2 linked regions of the Oryzias latipes genome follow. The protein of the gene in region 1 purifies or fractionates together with the protein of each later gene. This does not show direct contact. Links are inferred from orthologs where the notes say so. Each region holds a gene or a part of one and is shown on either strand. Other genes may lie near its edges.

Region 1 (12,578 bases):
CTTGCATCAAAATTTGACTCTAAACAACAGACAACCGAAAGTACGGCTGAAAAACAAAAACCGGTTTTTGCGACAGTCGTTTTTCTTACCTCTTGTCTTCTTTTTAGGCCCAAACCATTCTAGCTATTGGAAAGCTCTTTTTTCTTTGTCTTTTCCACTTCCAGTTTTTACACGCAAGATGAAGTGAGCCAAACGCTTTAACAGCTAAAATACTACACTAAAAGTCTTCCCTCAAAGCGGAACTGTACAACGAGGGGAAAACAAAATGAAGTCATCCTGCCTCCTTGTTCATTTTGTTATTCCCGAAGAGATGTGACTGATAGGTAACTGCTAGCTAAGTGGTGAGGCAGCCAGCAGGTACCACAGACAGGACTGGATGCATGGATGGCATCAGAAGAAGCTGCCTTCACGGCCTGTCAGAAAACTGTCAAAACCGCCACCCAGCGTCATAAACGGAATTAGAGGGGCAAATGTGGAGGCACTCCCACGGGAATCGCTTTGTTTAGTTCCTTGCAGTCGATTATGCTCAACTAGATTAAAAATGCTCTCATTTAAAAAAAATTAAAACTCGAAAGTTCAACGTGAAATAATACACAAAAAAGAAAATATACACTGAATTTAAGAATGTTTAATACGTCTGAGACAAATACAAAGAACGTGATATCACGTATACAAATGTTGAAAATGTATTATATAGTTCATTAGGATGTTATGGGAAGACAACCTTTTGAGAGTAGTAATAATTACTGTTGTCTGTGAACGCAACACCATTCTGACGCAAAGCTGGCTCAGACTTGACGTTCAGTAGAAATCACGCACAGCTCTCATTGTTCCCTGCTGATTGTATGGAGCCACAGTTTTTTCCTAATCAGGTACATGTCAACACATTTTTTTTAACTCTTTTTACACCATTGTTCTTTTGGTTCAACATCTCTAAAGGATCTAAATTCAGCTTCTTAGAGATGCACGGTCTGATTGTAATTTAAATTTCCAGGTATACACTAAAAGATCATTTTAGAGAAACCTACCGAAAATTAAATGAATCCTAATCAAAGTACCATCAATTTGCAGTCCTTTCTGCAAGTATTACCATACTTTTTGAAATCCTTGCAGTAGTTTACATTTCTAATCTTTTGGGGCACTGCATTTAGTGAAATGCCATACTTATAGCAGCTCTCCCAGAAAGTTTTTTTTTCTTATTTAAAATGCAAAATAGTTTAGTAATTATATTGTAAATTACCTAAATTATTTTTGAAGCAAAAAACTAGTGTCTCACTCATTTGTTTTTATTGTGAATTAGTCCTGAAATGTTAATCCATATTGTCTTTTGAAAGACGCATAATTTCAGACGTTTACAAACGTTACATCCATGTGAGACACAGTAAACTACTGACCTTACTATTATATTCTTTCAAAAAGGAAAAACTTTAAATTATATTTAAAATAAAGAAAAATCCCCATTACACTTCTCTTTTATCGAGTACTCCCTCAACTGTAACATTTCGTTTTTTTTTAACCTTTTTTACATTAAAACTAATAAACAGAACACATTTCTTTTTAAATGTATTAAACCAAGTTTTAGTAATATTGCTTTTTATCATCATTTTATTTGTATCCAGAATCCAAATATAAACATATGAACATTTCTCAGAAATAGAAACATTTTCTAAGCAGAAGATGCAACGATCAAATACTATTCAGCCGAATTCCTCCCCACCAAACCTGTGCAGCTCTGGTGCCATCTAGTCGAGAGAGTTTAGAAAAGTTTATTGAGGAAAACAACTAAACAACAACATTCCCTTTCTATTTTTTCTTTTTCTTCTTCTTAGGAGGTTCTTGATCTGAATCGCTGCTGCTCCCCGAGTCCGAGCTGTCCGAGGATGAAGAGGAAGAGGATGTTGTGGATGAAGACGAGGAGCTGTCGCTGTCGCTGCTGCTGTCGCTGTCATCAGAGGAAGAGCTGGAGTCGCTGCTGTCAGATGAGGAGTCGCTGGAGGAGTTTCCTGAGGCCCCGCTGCCGTCGTCGGCGTCTTTTGCTCTGGGAGTCAGAGGGGCAGCACAAAGCAAAGACATAAGTGAACAGAAGCGTGTGCAGCTTCACGCGTCATGCTGTGCTTTCCGTGTTTCTGCCGTGGAATCAGGCAGCAAACAAACAAAAATGTTCAGGAAGACACGGCCAGTCTGTTCTGGTTACCATCAAGCTCAATGTCAGCTATTATGTCACAGACTGTCCAGTATCCTATGAAGAATAAAGTCACTAAACGAATCTTTTTTAAGATGACTTGAGCTGCACAACGGCCATGCCAAGCAGATTCAGGTCATTTTTGGACGCAAGCATTTGTGCGACTATGTTCCATTTACACTGACTTTGGTGTTATGCTGTTAAATATGTTAAAAGAACAGACAGAACTATTTTATACATGATCAAAACAAAACCTTATCTGTCAAAGAATGAATAAAAAATTAATACATTTAAAGATATAATAAATTCTAAAAAGTCTAAACATTGACATGCTCTCTACTCCCTGGAAGTTAGAAGAAAACTAGATAAGAAAAAAAATCACTTTCAATTAGTTAACTTGATGAAGACCATATGTAGTTGCGTTTTTTAAATTTTTTTTTTTTTTTTTACAAACAGCATTCGGATTTCAAGAAAGACTTAAATTTTGTTTCCCAACTATAAGAGCTGGAAACCTGTAGTAGCTAGAATAATCCACTAGAGGGAGCCAACACCCAGAATAACTTTGACAACTAATATTAATGAAATTATAGTGGTGTGTTGATACTAAAATGATAATATTCATCTGTTGTCTCCTCTTGTCTGTTCATTTGAAAGTGAAGCAAATTAAAATCATTTATTTTATGAACACTGTTCTGACATGAAACACATAAATATATACCACACTCCTGTCACCTGGAAAAATCTACTTCACAATGCTGGCAGTAATTCTGTGAAAGTTTTTACCTCTGATCTTTACACAAAGAATTCCCTCCATTCTGCTTCTCCTGATGTTGTTGGAAATCTCCTCCTATCTTCTACATTATTCTTAAAACATCTTTTAAATTTAGTTCAAGTCAGGGTCTTACTAGGAACAAATATTTCACATGAAAACTAAACATGAAGGATGTCCACATAAATGCGCTTCACTCATAATGTTAAGTGAATTTTACTGCAGATGTGATTTTTTTTAACCTTATGCTTGAAGAACTGGCAGGTTAGAACATGTAGTTATTTAGAAAACTGCCTTAAAAAACAAAGTTTAATTAACATCTGGCAATTCCTACTTACTTCTTTTTGAGTTTCTTCTCGTGTGAACCTTCCCTTCCTGGTCTGTGAACAGAAAGGAGTTTCATTTAAACCTGAAACAAAAATGAAATGGGGAAGTTCTCCGTTTTTGGTTGCCCCCTTTAGGGGTCACCACATCATCTGCAGGGCTGCTCAATCCTGGTCCCAGAGATCTACCACTCTGCCTGTTGTCCAGACCTCCTAGCTGCTGATTAGCTCAATCAGACGTCTCCACATTCAGACGAATGAACACACCTGGTCCAGGTGATCCGCAGCAAAAGGAAAATAGGCAGGGTGGTAGATCCCCGAGGACCAGGCCTGGTCCAACCCTCTCCTCTGTATTTTCCTCGCTTACATGAGGACTGCCATCATGCCTTCCTTAACTCCATCCATGAACCTTTTGATCTTTCCTAGTAGCTCCGACCTCAGCATCAATTTACCAACATATTCACTGTCCCGCCTTTCAATGTGTCCAACCATCTCAATCTCTTTCCCTGCATTGATCCCCAAATCATCTAACTTCAGCCGTTCCTCTAATACAGGGGTGTCAAACTTATTTTGGGCCACGTCAGCATAGTGGTTGTCCTCAAAGGGCCAGATATAACTCACACATGTAACTAAATGTAATGACAAATGAATGCAACTACTCCTTAATGTTAAATAACTCATTTATTTATTATAACATTTTAAAGTGACAATTACAGTTGCAAAGAAAACATATGTTTGTTTGTTACTCTAGCATAAATCTGTTAAAATATTGTCTGCTTGTTAAAACCCACATAACTCCATTAATGAAGGATCAAACTGTCCAAGTGAGTAAAAATACAATAACATAAAACTGAGCTAGAAATAACTTTTTTGACACAAGCAACATTTTACAAAAACAAAGGCTGCACACAGCCTTGCATCCAACTGATTGTTTGATGACAACAATTTGTCTGCATACAGACCTGCAAACATTAAACTGCGCGGGGGATAGTGGGTATTCCAGCAGACCCAACGTATTGCACGGGGGATTGTGGGATGCGGTCCACTGGTCAGAATAGGGTTGAGAATGGGTGTTTCTTGTTGCCTACGTTTCTTTCCATCCATCAGTTTTGTTGTTCCACCCTTAGTTAATTCTTCCTGTTATGTTTGCTTCTTTTGTTGCACCGTGATTGTGGGGAGAGGAAAGGGGGATGACTCGTGTGCGATGTTCAACGTTCTGCGCGTTCAAATTAATTGGGCTCAATGCTGGAAAGCGGATTGCGCAATCAGCTTCTCGTTGGGAGTCATGCGGCATGCAGGGCAGACAAGTGTCCAGCGCAGTCAGTCAGTCAGTCAGTTGATGGACTGCTCCGCTCTCACTTTCCCGCTCCGAATGACGACCCAGCTGAATCGTTTCATTATTATAAAGGGGCTAATAGCTCAATAGAGATGGGTTTGTCTTTGAGATCCGATAGTGTAGATTGGAGCTCAACACTTATTTCCAAAAAATAAATAATTATACGCCTTTTTTTATTTTAAGAAATGAAAAAGTGGTATGCTCTCGCGGGCCACATAAAATGACACGGCGGGCCACATTTTGCCCGCGGGCCTTGAGTTTGACACATGTGCTCTACTATCACTTCATTCCTGATGCAATCCATCCTCCTCCCTCCAAAGAGAACCTCAACATCTTCATCTTTGCTCTTCTTGTCAGAGTCTCTCAACCAGGGGTGTCAGAATCCACACCTTTCTTTTGACCAAATGTGTTTTGTTGTTTTACTGTGTTATTTTATCCTGTTATGTTTAATTCTTTCTGCACCATGAGTGAGAGGGAGGGAGAGGAGGATGAGGTTATTTAGCAGCACTAGTACAAGAGTGCAGTCTAAGAACTGAAGTTACAGTCAGACTCATGATAATTAAAGGCATGGTATATATTGTAAATTCACACCATGTCATTCATTTTAATGTTATAGAAATGAGAAAATCTGCAGCCTCTAACTTAGACATATGAGAGTTCAAGAAGTACCATAAATTGAGATGGAAAAACATTTAATTGATTTGGAGTAATATGACATTTAGTTAGATAACTATGTAAATTTGAGTTCTAAAAACAATTAGAGTTTTATAGACGTAAGAAATTAGGTTGAATAAATTTAATTCCATCACTTGTTACCATTTGAATCAATTTTTTTAAGTTCGATAAGTTTTATTTATATACGTCACAATGTCATTTTAAATAAGATCAGAAACTTGTGCGTTTATTTCTCCGTTCTTTTTCTCCAAGCAGAAACTCTCTTTTGCTGATGCAGCCGTGTTACTTTTTGATGGGCGTATAATCTTCATACGCCGTCATTAAAATCTCAGACTCCGTCTCACTGAAGTATAGCGCTCTCTTTTGTTCTCCACGCGTTTCCATGGTGACTTGGGATATCGGCGATCCATTGAGAATGTCTTTATGTACCTGCTGTGCACGTGCGGTAACCCAGGGTTACCCAGTCGAGCGTAATTACGCCAACTCATATCCGGTCTTTTGGAACCGCCATACCCAGAGTAAGCAAGTTCAGGCGGATTTCAGCCAGAGTTCAGGCTTAAAGTCAGGGTAGTTTAAACATGCTTCCTGGAATACCCCCCTGGACTCTGACAACCATGCTCTAGTCCAGAGGTGGGCACTGAGGGCCGCAGTCCTGCATGTTTTCCAGCATACCCTGCTCTGGCATGTTCTGATTGGCTGGACACACCTGAACCAGGTAATCAGCCATGAGTAGGGCAAGAGTATCTGGAAATCATGCAGACACACCGGCCCTCGTGGCCTGGAATTGCCCACCCCTGCTCTAGTCTAAACCAACACTAAGGCTGTTCTTTCCATTGTCTTCTGCACCTTTCCTTTCATTCTTGCTGAAACTTTTTTGTCACACATCACATCTGAATCCTTCCTCAATCTGTTGCTTTGGACTGCTGACCTCTAAATACTTCAAGTCGTCCATCTTCTTCACCCCGGCTCCCTGTAATCTCACCAGAATCCTCCTCATTGTCCTTCTGAGATTGACCTTCACTCCTCTTCTTTCCAGAACAAGCCTACACCTCTCTAGATGTTCCTTCACTACAGAACACAGTGTCATCTGAAAACATCACAGTCCACAGAGATTCTTGTCTAAACCTCGTCTGTCAGTCTGTCCATCATCACATCAAACAATGAAGAGTTCAAGCTGATCCATTGTCCAGTCCCACCTCCACCTTGAAGTCTTCGGTCACACCTACAGCACACCTCACCAACCGCTCTACAGCCAATCTGGTAGAACAGTTCTGTCTGTGGTTCCGTTTTTGGATTTGGTTATGTTTTTCATATTGTATACAGTCACAACCTCCAGCATTTACAGACTTGGGATTCGCCACATGAAAGCATTGAATTGTGCCCCCTTGTGGTTAAATTCAAATTTAAGAAAGAATACAATTAGGATATTTAAGAAAAGAATAAGTGACCTTACCCAGTAATGCTTAGTGGTTTATTTTCGACTTCTTTCAATTTCTTTTTCATCTCAACTGTTCTTGATGGTCTGTGGACGTATTTTCTTTTGCCCGTACATTCATAGGTCCAGTGTCCCAACTCCAAACACTTTTGACATCGTACATGCTGTTTGTTTGCCTCCCTGTAGAAAAAAAAAAAAAGAGGTTTCAGATTCAACACTACAAAAGGAGTACGTTAAATGGGCCAAATCCATAAATACCTGGAAATACTTGATAGTTTTTCACAAGAAAATGTTTGTAATTGATCTTAGTGACGGAGGTTGAACCTCTGAATTTTTCTTTTTAAATATGAAGATGATATATATTGAGGCAGAGTAGCTTCCAAGTTCACAATTAGATTTAATTTGATTTTTTCCACTTTAAAAAAGGCCACTACAAATCCATTTGGTTCATAAAACAATTTTGGCATAAGTAAACCAAACCAAACTAAAAGAAAAATTCAATATTTTATATTACAGTGGATACTGATAAAATCTCATATTTTGAAAAGGATTTATAAAAGTCCTGAAAATTTTGTTTTTTCCTGCGTCAGATTCTTACTAAACCCAATTTTATTGAATTAATTGATTACTACCCAAGTAAGTGAACATAACACGGTCGGTGAGGCCATCAACGATTCACGAACTACTGAATTCTATCCCAACTTTTATGCAGTAAGCTCGTTCTTTATTAGATTGTACACAAACAAAATGTAGTTTTTCCGCCCCTTAATGTCTACTAAAATCCTCAGGAACGTGTGCGGTTGTATCGATAATTAGTTTGGGGCGTTAATGGCGGAAAACAAGTGTGAACAGCGAAAGAAGAAGCGCAGCATCTTAACTGTTTTTAAACAGTGAAATAATCGTTATTTACCGCTTCTATAGGATATTGCACCCAACAAAAAAGTGTAATTTATGTTTATCGATATGTTGTCTTCACATAAATTTGGTATGGAATCAGTAACGTTGTGATAACGAAAACATACTCACGCTTGTCTCCTGGCAATTATTCTGTGCATAGGAGTAGCCATGTTAAAATCTGATGCAACTTCTTCTGTGGTGTTTCTTCACAACGAGCTTCCGGAAAAGTTAATGTATTCAGCGCCCCCAGTGGTAAAAACGGATAAAGCTTTTTAAGGTCATGTTCATTTTTTCCCACTATTTTTGAAATTTTCATAACAAAAATTCTTTATAGTTTCCTTATTAATAAATGCGTTAAATTAATTTAATGCATTTATTAAGTAGAAATAATATTCAGTGGTTCTAATAATTCAACACAGTTACAACATCAATAGTACAAATAAGGAAATAAGCAAACATACAAACTACCTAGATGATGAGTTAAAGTTTGTACTTTTTCAGATTTAGTGTTAAAAATAGTAGATAAACTGAAAAATCATGTAAAAATGTATTTTCTTTTTTAGCAGCAGCAAGATTGTACATTCAACATTTTGATATGGATTTTAACTAGGCCTGCACAATATACCGCAAATTTATCGTTATCGCGACATCAAACTGTGCAATATGCATACCGCAAAAGACGGCAAAATCGCAATAAATGGTTACCTTGACCCTTGTGCTATCCTAAGCACTTTAACATTGGGAGTGGGGTCATCTAGACCCACTAAACAGTGCTCTGAACCTTTTTTCTTCTAGGATTTGTGATCTTCACTGGTGTCCATGGATTACATGAAATCTTTCCACCTTTATCCACCTTTGTCATGGTAGGAAGAACACGTCACTGTAAGGGGGGGTCATCTAAGATAGCACAAGGGTTAAATGTGCTAAAACAAACTCATGGCAGCTTGAAATATTGAATAAATGAAATAAATCCCTTTATGCATTTAACCAATCGGAAGGACTCGTTTACGTTGTTGATCAATCAAATGAGCCCTTTTATGTTTGATGTTTGCCTCCTATGTCGACAAGGGTCATTTGGAGTATAATTTTTATGCTGTTGCATTGAAATGGAAATGATGTTTTTGGTTGGTTTGATATTTGTTTATATACTGCAAATTATATCGTTATCGCAATATTAATCACCAATATCGCATATCGCGAGTTTTCCTCATATCGTGCAGCCCTAATTTTAACAAATTAATATATTTGAATTAGATGAAACAGATACGTTAAAACCTAATTGTCTGCCAATTTCAATATGATGCCAGTATTACCAAGTTAATTAATTGATACACATTCTTTGTACTATTGTAGTTGGGTTGAAGTACTGCAGTTTTGCTTGCATGTTTTGTTATGTTTTTGTACTTGTTTATGTTATTATTACAGTTGTTTTAATCTCATACTCATTATCATCATCATTTAGCTAATTTCTGACAAAAATAAATACAATGCATATTCTTATTAAAGTTGCAATTCGTTTGTTTATTTTTTTTTTATTTCAAATGTTTTTACCATGTATGTTAACAAAGAAAAAAATAAAACAAAAAAGCTTTCTCATAGGACTGTCTTACGAAAAAATTATTATTTGCTCTGAATAAAAAATTTAAAAAGCAAAATCTATGCCTATTGTAGACAAGATCATTTTCATTATTTAGGCTAACTTTGAAAAGCTTAAATCACAAAAGTTTTAATAACAAAAAGTATTATTGAAGATTAGAGTACAGTAGAATTTTATTTATATAAGAAGGGGCAGTGAATATACAGCAATAAAATAACAAGTTGGTCTAGACATGTGTTAAGTCTGTTTTTTTAAGTATTGCACGGTATAAAAAATATGAAAAACCTTCTAATTCTTGACTAAAAACACAGGCTACTTTAGACATTGATTTTTGTTTTGTATAGTTAACAATAATTTTTGATTTTTTGATTTGAAATGGTTTATTTCAAGCAATCAAATAGGAATAATACACAAAAAAACAATCCAATCGTCAGTTATACATTTATAAAATAACTAATCAAACTTAGTATAATTAGACATAAAATTAAGTATTGCTTGAAAGGGAGTGGAAGGAAGCGAATTTATATAATTCCACCCCTGTTCTACTGTAACCATTTTATTACATGATTTATCAATATCCGGTTCCTAGAAAGCACATGACAAAGATGAATTACTTAAATTATTTTGTAAAAAATAACTTTTAGAAATCAACATGGCAATGAAGTATCCAAAATATATGAAGATTATGTTACTTATAAAAGTCATTGATGTGAAATAAAAAATAATACTGTATCATATCAGTAAAATAGACAAAACACTGTTTCAGGAATTTTATATAATAGTTGTATATAATAGTTATATAATAGAATAATAGTTGACAGAACTGGTAAAAACGACTTAAAAAATAACATAAATGTCTTAAAACCTGGAGTGAACCAGAACGGTCTGTTATTCACTTGATGGTTGTGGAAAAGTCGAGAGACATCTAGAACTGCTCAACTCTCGCGATAATACCAAGCGAGAAGTTAGTAAAATCCCGTTGCCGACTGGAGCTTGTCAGCATTGACCAAAGACACCGGCACCAGACACCAGTGGTGATTATGAAAACTTCTATTTAACATCGCACTGAAAGACAACTTTACTCACTTCAGACCTTTTTTTTGTTTCATTATTTTTTCCTTGATAAGAAGCATTGGAGACAACCTTAAAGTTGAAAGACAAGCGAATCGTAAAAGATGTCAGTGGTGGGATTTGACTTGGGATATCAAAGCTGCTATGTTGCTGTTGCACGAGCTGGAGGAATTGAAACAGTCGCTAACGAGTACAGTGACAGATGTACACCGTAAGTAATAAATATTTTTAACTAGCGGCATGATTTTTTTTTAACCTGTCTGTGTGTGCTTGCTTACTTTCATCATGATGAGCAGCAGCTGGCTAGTAACCGTTCATCAAACTAGCATACAGAGAGAAAATAAAACAACCATTTAAACGCAGTTTTTCCCCCAAACACTAAATAGTCCTTTATAATTTAGATTTAATTTCGGCTTTTCGTCAATGTATTAACTACTGAGCATCGTTGAGCCGTTTGGAAACGATACGCTCGATTATTTCTTTTCTGCGGGCCGGTAAAAACCAGCTGGGCGGTGTTTCTCAAACAGTCAATGGTGTTCACTGGCTGTGCATCGCTGGGTGGCGTTAGCTCTCACTTGCCGGTTAGTCCCTTGAACAAGACATTCTGACCAGACTGGTGACGTCACAAACTCGTGTGTTAGAACATTCTAGTAAATAGACTTTGAACAGCCCAAAAACGTAAATGGTTGTTAAAAATATATATAAAACCATTTAAAGCAAATTCATTTGCCAAGTATATATTGTAAAAGTTAACTTAAATATGTCAATATATAAATGTATCTTTAAAAAAGTAGTAAATCGTGCGTTATTCTATCCACCTTCAAATCGTAACTCTCCATCCATTCATTGTGCTTATGTTTTTTTTATCGTTCATTGTCCCTGAGAGTCTCTAACAAGACATTTGTTATCAACGCCAGTTTTGCAGCAGCTGCACCTGACAGCCCCCCCCCCCCCCCCCCCCCCCCCTATGCTCTGTGAACACTACACTTCACCTTTTTAAATGTTGCTTTGGAGATTAATTACCAATAACAACACTTTATAAACGAGGTCAACATTTGCATTTCAGGAATGAATATTATTATTATTGTTATGCCAGGTAGTTCATTGTTTTGTGCCAAGTGAACTGGTCTTGATTTTTGAATATTATATAAAACACAATACCGGTAATTACTGACATGTTTCTGTTTGTAATAGACCATCAGAGCTACAATGTTTAAACAAAACACTTGTTTGTCTTGTCATTTTGTTTTTAATCTGATTTATATTTTTATGCAAAGCACTTTGAGTGACCTGAGTTATAAAAGTTCTATATAAATAAAGCTTGATTTGATTTGATAAGTTAACATTTTGCTTTGCTTTTCCAGGTCATTTGTATCATTTGGGCCACGAAATAGATCTATTGGAGCTTCTGCAAAAAGTCAGGTAAGTCACATCAGCTACTTTGCTATTCAGCTCAAACTTAAAAAAAAAAAAAAATTACAAAAAGAAAGAGATGGTAATAAAGTTGTGCCGTTTCTATGGTAAATCTCTTGAATTTTGTTCCCCGTTTCAGGCAGTGACCAACTATAAAAACACAGTTCAGGGCTTCAAGCGCTTCCATGGCAGGGCCTTCTCAGACCCCTACGTTCAGTCAGCCAAGTCCAACTTGGTATATGACGTGGCGCAGATGCCCTCTGGATCCACTGGTTTAAAAGTAAGATGAATATTTGCAGTTTCCTTTTGATTTCAGTTTGGATGCAATGAAGGGAAGAGAATATTTCCACTGCTATTCTCTGAGGAATTCAGTTGAAGAGACAAAAAGTTTCTTGGAATCTGAAATGAATCTCCTGTCAATCATACAGCTCTAGTGCTAATGTAACTCGGTGGATAAGCTTTGTTATCTTTGTGAAAAATATGCCATTTAAATACAAATATTTAGGTCCAATTATTCTGTTCACCTATGATGTTGAAAATGTTCCTGTTTTTTATTTAAAAAAAAAAAACAACATTAACCCTAATGTGTTTAAATTGTAGGTGATGTACATGGAGGAAGAGAAGGTTTACGGCGTTGAGCAGGTGACGGCTATGCTGCTCACCAAACTGAAGGAGACTGCAGAGAGCGCGCTGAAGAAGCAGGTCATTGACTGTGTCATCTCTGTAAGTATTCTTATTTAAAGCTTATAGTTGTTCCTAACATTAGTCTGAATACTGTGTGTACTTAATACAACTATTTTACTTTACAGAAAGAGAATAATTTTAATATGTGCCTTTGCACTGACCGGCCCTAAAGTTAAACTTAACTTTGTTTTGTGCA
Region 2 (12,646 bases), on another chromosome or scaffold:
TCATCATCCACGTCCCTGAAAACATCAAAAGATTAGCCTCCGACTAGCCGAACCGACCTGCTTTAAAAAAAGGCACCGCGGTCGTTCACCTGAGCGTAGATTGGTCATGGTGGAGGGCAGTTGCAGGTAGGCGGGGTTGTGCGTTGTGACTCCAATTTCAATGGAGCCCGCCCACTTGTCGACCATTTTGTCAATCCGCACCTGGAACACTTCGTTGGAGCGCAGCGGCCGACTGCTCAGAACCACGCCGTGGTTAAAATCGTCGGTCGCACTGAAACAATCAGCGGCGTTAACCTGGATCACCGATTCAACCCTATTGAAATATTTAACAAAGTTCTGCAAAAAGAACAAATAAAGCTCACTGCGGCCGTAACGCGGTCCGGCCCTCGCAGATGATGGCGGCCTTCTGGCCACAGTTGGAGTGAAAGAGGAGACGGTCGGGCGCCTCGGCGTCCGGAGTGAGCGACAAGCCGGGCCGGGATCGCCCCACGTCTGGCGACAGAGCCCGCATGATGGCGTTGTTGCGCCTGAGGCGGTCGCTGTGGTTGTGGTTGTGGACTATAGTGACTTTGACAGCCATGCCGTAGAGGTCCACCACTCCATAAACCACCGCCGGAGTCTGAGCTGCAGCCACACCTGGTGACAAGAACAAAATCCATTACAGCGCATTAAAAAGGCTTCGACTGATGCCAGAAGTTTGTCACTGGTCCTTGAGAGCCTCAACCCCGCCTGGTTTCCAACTCGATGCTGACAACCTAAACCAGGTGTTTTCAGTCAATCAGGATGTGGAATTACTCGAGTTAGCCGAGAGCTGGTCAGGCAGGACTGGAAGACAGGCAGGGTTTAGGCTTTGAGGACCAGGGTTGGCCAGCCCTGGCTTAGAGCAACAACCTTCAGCACAGAAGGAGGACACTCGGAGTGGGTTTTTAGGACGAATTCATGAAAGTTTAAGGGTTTCTGAAGGAAGGCTGCTCCAGCCATGCACCAAAATCTATTAGCTCCTCCCCCTTAGACTGAGCCACCAGAACAGAAAATGTGTTTGTCTGTTTTTTTACTTCTCATTAAAAAAGCTTAATCTGTTACTATTGTCAATTGATTACGTCAATGACAACAATACATGACAGCAATGTTCTAAAAATAGATTATCAGTTTTCAAAATAAGAGGACATCAAAACTAGGGAAAAATATGAACATAAATAATTTTATGAGGCAAAACTTTAGATCACATCAAAATACTCGCAGATTTGTTTTCTTACAGCACTAACAACAAACTACTACATCATTGCCTTAGAAATAGAGTTTTATTGTTTTTTGTTGTTTTTTTGCCTTTGGAATTTAGGTTGAGAGAATATTTTTACGCACTTTGAGTTACACAAGTGTAAAAAGCGTTTTATAAATAAAGTTTGATTTGATCGCACCAAATGCTGAAAGTTTCTGTTCACAGTGTACCAACGAAACAAAGGTGCGTAAATACCGCAGGTTTTCTGAAGCCTCACCTTGATCGATGCCGTTTATGTAGAAATGCAGCGCGCCGCTGGCTTTACGCATCAATCCTATGTGATCGCCCTCCTACGAGCAAAGTATGTTAAAAGCAGAGCGGAGAGCAGGTGACGTTCAAAGGCACGTTTGTTCCCGTCGGGCCAAACCTGGAGTTCGTCTAGGCTGAATTCACAGTATTCTCTGCGGGTTCCTTTCCCGTTGGTCAGAATCCCACAGCCACTCATCATGATTGTACCTGATGGGGAAGCCAAAGCCACGCTGTCACACGACTGGGTTTGGAGCCTTTCGTTCCTGTCAGCGTCTGGGCGCCTACCTGAGCGCAGATTGGTCATAGTTGCGGGATAGTCCAGGTTGTTGGGGTTGTGCGTGGTCACACCGATCTCGATCGACCCCGACCATTTGTCCACCAGCTTATCGATGCGGATCTGATGGTGAGCAAGAGATGGGCGTCCCATCAGCAACAAATGCAACCAGTGGAACCAACTGAAGAAAGAGGTCGGATTGTGCCGTTGACTGTATAAGAGAACTGGACTGAGCGAGAGTGACGTCACCCATAGAAAATGGTTCCCTTTTGGTTCCAACCAAATGACTTCAGTCGCCATTATTGTCTATACAAATGTCGCCATGTTGGAACCAGAAATCATCAGTAAGCAGCGATTGGTCGAAGTCGGTTTAAGTCGACATTTCTATGGCAACCACGCTTGCCATTTAGGAGTGAGCTGGCTGAGAGTGCACACCACCACCACTTGGGAGCGGACTCGGGAGAATCTGCCAAACGCTCTGAATGTTTTGGTGAGACCACAAACTTTTACCGAGGCATCTGATTGGTCAGTTTAAATGGAATACCTTAGCAAGAACATTGGTTATTCTGACTAAAAGAACGACTGAATAATAGCCGTTTGTTTTTTACTAGAAGTCTATGGGACTTGTCTTCTTGGAGCCAGCAGGTACTTCCTGTTCGGATCGCCAGGGGGAGGGGTCACTCAATCCAGCTATCATATACAGTCAATAGGTTGTGTACACGCCTCGAACATCTCGTTGTGTCGCAGCGGCCGGTTGGTCATCACCACGCCGTTGTTGAACTCGTCCAGCGGTCTCCGCCTCTCCGCCGTTTTGTTGTTGTTGCTCAGTTTGATCAGGGTGCCGCACTTCTCGTGGAACAGCAACGCATCATTGGTGGTCATCCCTGTCACGGCTCCAAGCCCCGCCCCTCCATTGCCGACGGGGCTGTTTGAGCTCCCGTCTCCTCCTCCTGCTGCTGCAGCTCCCCCACTGTCACTGTGTGTCGTGCCTCCTCCACCGCTGCTCCCTCTGTCGCCTCTGGAAGAGGAATCGGATCCTGCGTTTCCTCCTCCTCCCCCCTCGACACCTCCTCCTCCTCCTCCTGTCCCACCTCCTCCCCCATCTACCCCTCCGCCCTCATCTTCAGAGCGATAAAACGATACTATTGCATTGTTGAAGACGTCGAAGAGCTGGTGCTCTGTGAGAACTGAGGACAGAGTGGCGCTCGTCAGACCTGCAGTGCTCCTCCTGATGGGAGATCTCAGGTGGATCTTCTTACCTGTGTCGGGCTCCAGGTTGTTGGGGAACTTGTCTGGTCTGTTGTGGTTACAGGTCAGCTCAGGCACTGGCAGAGTGAGAGTCACTCCAGATCAAACAATCGAAGATAGAATCAAATGATTTAAAAAAACAAGTCTCCTTACCTTCATCTCCGTTCATCACTTCATTCAATGCTGCCACATTCATCAGTGCTGCGATCCCCCCATTCTCCCGAGCACCACACACCACCAACTCCTCCTCCGCCTCCTCCTCCTCCTCTTCTTTCTCCTCCTCATCTCGCTCTATTGTTTCTCTCTCCATCTCTGCAGGAGGCGGCTCGCAGCTCACCACCGTCACCTGGGTGCACTTCCCGTACAGGTCCACCACCGCCCAGAGTCTAGGCGGCAGGCCGCTGGCGGCCGCGCCGCAGTCCTGCCCGTTCACCCAGAGGTGGAGCTCTCCCCGGGAGTTGCGCTGAATGCCCACGCGGTCGCCCTCCGCCAGCTGGTCGAGGTCGCGGCCGTACTCCTCCAGGACGGAGCGGCCGTCACGGAGCACAGAGCAGCCCGACACGATCCAGGAGCCACCCTTCAGGCCCGTGGCGCTGCTGGGGAAGTCCAGCGCGGCGGGGTCCAGAGCTGTCACCCCGATCTCAATGGAACCGCTCCATGAGTTCACCTGCAGGGAGACGGAGAAAAGATGGAGGCTTCCACTAAAAAAGAAAATCCAACTTCATGCAGTTTTTGGTTTAAGTAGCATCGCACAAGATGCAGACATTTAATGGCTTTTAAAGCAGTTTTTAATTAAAGTGGTGGGGGTAACAAAGAGTGAAGCCAAGGTTTTGGCAGCTTTTTTACTTTATTTTGGCCTGAACTGCTGATATTCTTTCAGACGAGGCTGATGTTGAGAACAACAACAAGGACATTTTCTGTTTTTTTAAAAATAAAAATATAGCAGATCTGCATCTTAACGAGCTCCAGATTGTTTTGTAAATGAAGAATTTTACAAAATAATGACAGGAAATGTTTTTTTTTATCTTTCAAATGTTCACATCAACACAATGTCTGTAAAAAAAGAAAAAAAAAAATAAAGTTTGCCACAATGACAGACGCCTTTCTCTCATTTTTTGTTTTTGCACGCTTCACCGAAGCTGCTTCTGTTCCCCCCCCAAAAATGAAGAAAGTAATACTTACTGACATTGCAAAACATTTGCGCTTTAAATAAATTATAAAATATCCATCAGTAGTAAGAAGGCATGCAAACATTACGCGTTTTAGGTTTAATTGCTGACATTTTAAATGCTTTCTTTAGCAAGGGAGGAGGTGTGTGATGAAGCTCCAACAGTATAGAGACATAATATTTAAAAATGATGGGGCTGCAATCGGTGATAAAGCTTGTGTAAAACTGCAGCGGGATGAAAGCAAGTTCTAATTCTTTTTTTAAAAGAGCTTTGCTGTTATTTTTAGTCTGCAGTGCATCTTCATACTCAGGAGGAGCATCTTTGAAGACAAAACACTGAAATAAATGACAGAAAATGACACGCAGTAAAGCACATTAAGTCCTTGCAGTTCTGTACTTCTATATAAAAAAAGGAGCTAGTCACAAAAGCTGAAACATCAAATATTGAAGGTGACTGATCGTGACGTTACTCTGATTGTAAGGTCTCCTGACGCTTAGTAAGAAAAAGGACTGGATTTCACACGAGTGAATCACGTTTTCCCCGTAACTGTGCTCTTCTATTTGAGCAGAGTCAGCCAAGCTGCAGCAAACGGAGACAGATAAAAAGCCAAGCAGAAAACAACACACACATTTTTAGAAAATGACAATAAACAACGGAGAAAAATCATCTTTACCCCTTACCATCACCCCAACTGAGAGCTCCACGTTTACACTCTGTCCCACTAGCTTACAGCCTTTCACACACCCCCACAACAAAAATGATGAAGCAATAATCCAGATGTACAGTTTGGAGTCAGAGACCAGCCGAGACGAGATAAAACAAAGACGTTTATGGATCTAGACGTCTGCAAAAAGATGCATCGGAATGGAGCGGCCCCACCCTTAATTTCTACATCACAAATACGAGCTTTTCAAACCATGTTTCTTTTTGTCTGCTCCCGATTCACAACGATCTGAATAAAGAGAGACTAGACTAAGCTTCATTTTCTTTATCTATGTCCTCCAGCATCAGAAAAACGCCACAAGAACATGTTAAAAACTCAAAAAAACAACATGATTTGCATGATCAGAGTGGGTCTGTGGAGCCCCGTAAGCGTATGCAGAGGGAACTCCTGGCAGCCTGCAGATAAAGCAGCCAAACCAGGAGCTTCTAGCAGGCAGCATTCAGGGGGGAGGGACAAAGTTAAAATTAATAAAACCCCTGTCTGTTCTTTACTTTTCACTCCAGCTGATCAATTTTACATAAAAATAAGATTTCAACTCGTCAACGTCGGTTTAAAACCCAGATTGATGCATTTAATAACCAGATCATTGAATCCATTAGGTCAATTTGCACACAAGAGTTACACACCAATAACAACATGTCTGTCTTTATTTAATTTCAGCCTTTAAGCCCCAACTGTGACACCAAGCAGATCTTGTTTACAAATGGATGGAAGCTTTTTGGTGCTAAAAAGGTAAATGGCTGGGGGGTGAAAAGGCTCGACCCACCCTGTCAGTCACAAAATGAGACAACAACAACAATGATCAGTTCAGTAACATCCTCTGAGCCCCTTCAGCTGGGCGGTGCTGCTAGCATCCCTCTGGAAACCTGGGCAGCACCGACTTCTTTCAAAATTGCAAAACTAATTTTTATTATTATTATTATTATTATTATTTGTATTTATTTTTTAACCATTGTGCTACTGTTGTGTTTGAATAGAAGCGACAGTTTTCATTTTTTTAGAAGCGACACCCGTTCTAGAAAGTCAACAACAGCTAGCATCTCATTAGCTAGCTAACTAACCTACGGTTATCGCGAGCCCGGCGACCAGTTTACCGTACATCCGAGCCGAGGGTGCGGTTGTCGAGTCACCGCGCCGCCGCTGCGGCCCCAACAGTCCCCCGCCACAACAGGTAGGCGGCCTGTAGAGACGCGAAGAGCGGCAGGGGGTGGCAAGATGAAACAGAGCCGGGTTTATCCACTTACAGCCCCCACTGCTGCTCTGAGTGACCACCGGCGCTCGGGGTGGCAGAATGCAAAGCATCGGGCCCGCGCTTGTTTACCTTCTTGTCGATCCGGACGGTGAAGACATCCCGGTCCCTCAGCGGCTCCTTGCTGAGCACGAGCCCGTGGTTGAACTCTTGGACTGGCTGGTTTCGCCGGGCGGTTCGGTTCGAGTTGGAGAGGCCGATCAGCTTTCCGCTCCGCGGGTGCAGCTCCGCCGCCATGTTCAAGGGGGGCGGCCAGAAATCACGACACTCTGGTTTTGCGACAGTAACGTTACGTTAGCCCGATGTGCTAGCTGCCGAAAGTCGCGCTGGATACTTAGCGCGGGAAAGAGGTCACTTTACTTCAGCAAATTCAATGAACAAAAGTTATTTAAGAATGTATCATATTTATAAGGAATTTTCTTTGAAATTCTTTAGAAATACAGTAAAAGAAGATTCTTGTTTCGAAATAAATGGCAAAATATCACATTTACAAATAAGTGGAAAGCTGACTTTGTTTTATAATTACATTTTTTATATTAACCATAAGTGACTCAACTAACAAAAAGGTGTTAAAAACAAATTTTAGAAAGTGACTTAATTTAAAATCCTATAAGCCTTGCATTATTATATTGTGTTTATTTTGTTTTATCGTCTGTTGTTCTGTATTTGCATCTTTTGAGTGAAGTTACTATTTATTTTTTGTCAATTTGCTGAATGTTAAGCCATGTTCTGTCATGTTCAATCGTTCAGTAAATTATTAAAAATGGAAAAGAATTCAGCAAATTCAGATTTTTTTGGAAGATTAATGATAAGACAGACACTGTCCACTGTGGATTTATATTCAACTATTGAATGAAAACACTTAAAATAAACTTGAACTGTCCTTTTGTTAGTTATATAATGGAAAAAACATCAGAAACGCAGTGCTACCAGGGGCGGAGCTTTGGGGGGGCAACTGCACCCAACAAAAAATTTGGCCCCACCCCACTTGCCCCCATATTAGTCAATATTAGTATAATTACTGACAAAGATTAGGTAATCATCAATACAAGCCTTCTTTAAGCGTTAGTAATAGCACCTCAGCTATTACTCAGTTTTTGATCTTTTAATTTGCAATTCAATTCTATAATAAAATTATTAGAGCATAATTTTAATTACATATACAAAAATATAATCTGCTCTCTTTGTGGATCCCCTCAGCAAAGTAGTGTATTTACGTTTATATACCATCTATAATATAGACAGTATATAAACTTAAATACACTACTAACACGGAACATTTTAGGTTTACAATATATATATTGTAAACCTAAAATATTCCATGTTAGTCTAAGTAAGTATTCAGTTACTTTCTACACTATAAGTACATGGTGTACAATAGGCCTGCACAATATATCGCTAATTTATCATTATCACAATATCAAGCTGTGCAATACGCAGATCGCAAAAGATAAAAAATAAATAAATAATTGCACTAAATGGTAACCTTAAATATCCTTAAACAATCTTATGGCAGCTTGAATTATTTAATGAATTAAATAAATCCCTTTATGCATTTGACCAATCAGATGGAGCCCTTTCATGTTAGATGTGCACCTCCTATTTAAACAAAGATCATTTGAAGTGTAATTTAAGTTATGTTGACTCTTATTTAATGAAAACTCTTGCAATAACATGGAAATGATATATTTAGTTGTTTTGCTATTTGTTTATGTAATGCAAGATATATCCTCATCACAATATTAAGCACTAATATCCCAAATTGCAAGTTTTCCTCATATTTTCCAGGAATTTTTTGCTTTAAATGTTTTAGTTTAGACATTGTTTTAGTGAAGGGTACATTTTTTGTTGTTATTTCAAATGCTTTAAAAACGCAACGTTGTTGATCCTAAAGACCTTCAAATCCTCTCCCGCCTCCATATCACACCCTCCACGAAGGAGGTTGTAAGGGCAGGGATGCCCAGTTTAGTTAGTCTGTTTAGTTAAAGTTTTAGTATTATCCTATTGAATTCTATGCATTCATGATCCTTTTTTGATTGTATTTTTACCTTACAATTACCGATATGAAGCCCATTGAGATGACTGTTGTTGTGAATTTGGGCTATACAAATAAAATTGAATGGAATTGAATTGAATTGATATCTGTGACGAATGACATCACCGTTCTTCTACATACAGACACATTCTCTGTTTGGGAGTGGACTTTCATTCCTCTCCTTTTTCAGGACAAACCATCAATTCTTATTTTCTTTCTCCTGAGGTTCTCATTAAAACTTAAACCATATGGAAAAATATTTTGATTTGGATTAATAAAATGTAGTTTCAATGGAAGGTCTGCAATAAATGTATACATTCTCAGAATCCAGCATAAACTAGTCTAAACCAGGGAACCAGTCCAGCTAATAATCTGTAGTTTATAGGTTAATATAAAGTTATGACGTTAAATTCTTAGGGTGAAAAAATGAAACAATTTGTGGGAAGTGGCTAAGAAAATACCCAATAATAATAATAATAATTACAATTATGTTGATAATTATAACCACCAGAATGGATTTATGATCGAAGTTTGGTCTGTTGTCTTCATCTTTATTCAATTTAAATATTTTAGAAGATGTGTTATGGACATTTTCAGTGCAGAAACGACTGAATATGTAAATGTTTAATAACTTGAAGATTTTTTTCCAACATAATAAAAAGAGTTAAAGCTGACTTGTTTTCAGTTCACCACTAGAGGGCGCAGTTGAATTGCTAAATCCCTCACTCTTTTGGTTTGAAAGCTTCTACCTCCTTTTCCCACATGCAGAAAAAATGTTTTAAGAAACTTTTCTCATTTATCCCCAACTTTCAGACATTCATTTTAAAATAATCCGGAATCACTGGAATCACCCCTGCTCCCTTCCAGGGGAGTAAGAAAGAGGAATAATACATGAATTGCACCGCACCAAACAGAGGCATGGAGAATTAAATGATAAATAATTGATCACTATATATGGGGTAAAGAGAACTAGAAGAGAAGATTCCAGTTGGCTCGCCCGTGCTCCTGTACTTGGCCGTTGACCTCGCCACTGGCTTGTCTTGCGCTCCCTGCTGTTTTTCAGTTCCATATGGAGTTTTAGGAGGTTTTCTTTACCAAGAAGGGATGCCCAGTTCAGTTTAGTCTGTTTAGTTTAGTTGAGCAATTACCTATTTTTTCACGACCGATTTCATGTTCTTATAGAATTACCGGTATGAAGCCCATTGAGACGACTATTGTGAAATTGGGCTACATAAATTAAATAAAATTGAATTGAATTCTAAAATAAAATAAAAATTAATGCAAAGAGTTTCTAAGAATTAGATTTAATAATGAGGGTAATTTATGCCCTTTGTCTCAAAACAATATTGAAACCCAGGAACATTTTTATGGTTGTAATTTGGTTCATTATTTTGGCAGGATTTACATGATTGGCTTTTAACAAAAAGATATTCCTTTGTTTATATGTAATATCATTCAATTTGGTTTTATGCACAAAAACATATTCAATTCTTAGCTAACCGCTTGACGCCTGAATTTATTTCCAGCTTTAAAAACTAATCACTTATGTTTTTTCTTTCAATTAGATGCTAAATTCAGGTGAATTTGGAGTAATTTTGCATATGTGGATCAACAGGCATAGAAGGGGTTAATTATTTGATCTTTTTAGGAACATTTTTTTAATTATGAATGTCATTTGATGAAACTGAGCACCGATGTTTTCTTTTAAAAACAACTACAATCACAATCTGTTCTGTAGATCCCTTCAAAAATCATGAAGTAATAAAAAAATATAAAACTCTCAGATTATTTATCTGTTGACGTAAACAATTGCATTTTTCCATTTTTAGTCGTTTTTTTTATTGCTTTCACTTAATACAATCTACTTTGGTCTTTTTTTATGCATTTAGATTCTGATGGCTGCTACTTGGTCTTTGTTCAAGTGTTGAATTTTTGGTAGGTAATAGTTTCCATGTACAGTAGTTTGAGTGATTAAATGTTTGGAAATGTAAACCAAAGGAAAAAAAGCAACAAAACTTCTCTCTTCTAGCCGTTCTCCATCTGTTTATTCACATCTTTCATTAGGATTTTATAGAGTTTCCAGACCAGCTTTAAGGTCTTCATTTTTATTTTGTGTCTGGACTTTATAACAGATTATTTTTCAGTCTGATGGTGGGTCTATCGTTCTGTTTAGACAGAATAAAGGCATCAGCTGCTGCTGACATGCAGCGCATGCTTTTGTTGTTTTATGCAGGGCAGCTGTGAGAGGAGATGGACATGTGCTTGACAGCTAAATCCAGATCCAAATCCCTTCCCTGGACTTGGATCTTTTCCAGACAGCCTGTCAAGAAGTGGGAGCCGTCCTCACCTTCACCTGATGAATGAAAAAGAGGAAGAGGAGAGAACGTTAGAGGGGACTGCACAGCCCGAGACTATCAACTCAATGGATTTTCTTTTAAAAAAAAGAGAATCCTAATTTTTTCCATCTCACTTGTAAACACTTTTTTAAGTTTGTGCTCTCAATAAATCAGTTAGAAATGTGACATTTTAAAAATCCATGCATTACAAATGTTTGATCTCACCTAAAAGACCCCCAATTGCGAGAAGACCCTCTCTCCAAGTTGTCAACTCTGGATTGACGGATAATGTTGTGCTTTGTGATTCATCTCCGTCTTGAAGCACTTTCAGTTCACTTTTCGAGAACGTAATGAGTAGTTTCTTGAAAGTGCTTTTCAAAATAAACTTCTCCTCCCTGAAACTGACTGTGAGCTCCTGAGAATCAGAGGAAAAGAGACAAACGTGGTTATCCCATCTTCTCGTTTCATCTATTTGCAAAACTTTGGTTTTACACAAAGTTTTAGGACTTAAGGTGAACTTTCAGATGTACCTCTGTGTTCTTACTGGCTTCCACCCTAAACTCCAGTTCTTTTTGTAAAGGCTTTATGCTCAGAATGGTTCCATTCATCTGACGGAAATCCGCCCAAAGCTCAACCCTGAGCGCAGCATATTCATCAGTCTGAAAAACTTTAAATGAACAAAAGTAGGTCACAACAGTAAAAGAAATGCAGTTTACCATATTTTTCAGAGTTTAAGTTGTGTTTTTTGCAATAGTTTGGCCAGGGGTGAGACTTATACTCAGGATTGACGTATATGTGATTTAAAAAAAAAGTATTGGTTCGTATGGATTACTGGTTGCCCTCTAGCGGTTGTTTCCCACTAACAACCACTAGAGGGCATCGTCAGTATTTGCTACTGACAGCAACGCAGAAGAAGAAGTGCCGTCCAAAACAAACATAGAGGAGAATATGATCGTTCTCCTCCTGAACTTTACAATATTTTTTCTGATTTGGATCGAGACATTGTTGCTCTTGATTTTATTGTTTAATGTGGGACAACAAGTCATCAAACTGGCTTACAGGGAGACAGAAGTACAGCTGAAAAAAAAAAAAAGACTGAATGATCTCATAAACCAGTCATGATGACTTGTTTACTGATGTTTTTGTTGAACTCTTCCAAATAAATAGACCTAAACTCTTAACATTATTTAACATTATCCGTGTCTTCCATCCATGTAAATAAGATATTCAGCTTCCATGAAGCGATAAAGCTAAAAACGTGACGACGCACATGAAAAGAGGCAGTGGACGTAAATTTAATGCGCGTTGAAAAAGAGGCAGAAGATGCAAATTTTATGTGCATCAAAAGAGGTGGCAGATGTTTATTTGATGCACGTCAAAAACAGGCAGGGGATGTTAATTTGACACGTGTTGAAAAAAGGCAGCAAACGCTACTTTAATGTGCATCGAAATAGGCAAAGGACGCTAACTTGATGCGCGTGAAAATAAAAGGCAGCGGATGGGAATATAACACGCGTCCAAAGAGGCACCAGGTATGGCAAGAAAAAACCTGTTCGCAAAGTGAAAGCTAATTTGACGCGTGAATCGCATCTGGTGTGATTGCTGCCTTACACCAGGCTTGGCGGATTTGTTCAGACACATTACACTTTTCTGCCAAAAGAGCATATTTGTTTTTTCTTCTTTATTGTCCTTTTTTTTGGCTACTGTGATTTATACTCCAGAAAATTGGTCACTCACATGATTAACAACAAAAAAGGAAAATCATTCAGGTGTTAGGGCTGCACAATATGAGGAAAACTTGCGATTTGCGATATCAGTGATCAATATTGCGATGACGATGTAACTTGCGATACATGAAAAAATAACAAAACAACCAAAAATGCAATGTGCATATCACTGCAACAGATGAACTCAAAGAAAAGTCAACATCATTTAAATCATACTCCAAAAGACCCTAGTCTACATGGGAGGGGAACATCTATCATAATAGGAGTCCATTTGATTGGTCAAATGCATAAAGGGATTTATTTGATTTGTTAATTCAAGCTGCCATAAGATGGTTTTAGCACATTTAAGGTTACCA

What was found.
Region 2: the proteins of zcchc10 (region 1) and neurl4 purify together in Homo sapiens (co-immunoprecipitation; 3 studies listed by BioGRID and IntAct, with this or other methods). This does not show direct contact. The link is inferred for Oryzias latipes from reciprocal best matches to the Homo sapiens genes ZCCHC10 and NEURL4.

The regions. Positions count from the first base shown.
Region 1 is NC_019872.2:6,661,272-6,673,849, forward strand, and holds zcchc10 (zinc finger CCHC domain-containing protein 10), read right to left. Parts: upstream 7,866-12,578; 5' UTR 7,788-7,865; coding exon 7,747-7,787; intron 6,901-7,746; coding exon 6,739-6,900; intron 3,332-6,738; coding exon 3,290-3,331; intron 2,039-3,289; coding exon 1,804-2,038; 3' UTR 1,588-1,803; downstream 1-1,587. Other genes in the region: heat shock 70 kDa protein 4-like, read left to right, coding at 10,390-10,496, 11,650-11,707, 11,838-11,978, 12,299-12,421.
Region 2 is NC_019876.2:14,646,006-14,658,651, reverse strand, and holds the start of neurl4 (neuralized-like protein 4), read right to left. Parts: upstream 6,672-12,646; 5' UTR 6,430-6,671; coding exon 6,265-6,429; intron 3,718-6,264; coding exon 3,204-3,717; intron 3,128-3,203; coding exon 3,062-3,127; intron 2,990-3,061; coding exon 2,526-2,989; intron 1,926-2,525; coding exon 1,814-1,925; intron 1,736-1,813; coding exon 1,647-1,735; intron 1,570-1,646; coding exon 1,497-1,569; intron 637-1,496; coding exon 363-636; intron 272-362; coding exon 90-271; intron 16-89; coding exon 1-15. Other genes in the region: shbg (sex hormone-binding globulin), read right to left, coding at 10,453-10,580, 10,789-10,978, 11,094-11,230. UniProt on the Homo sapiens protein: Promotes CCP110 ubiquitination and proteasome-dependent degradation. By counteracting accumulation of CP110, maintains normal centriolar homeostasis and preventing formation of ectopic microtubular organizing centers.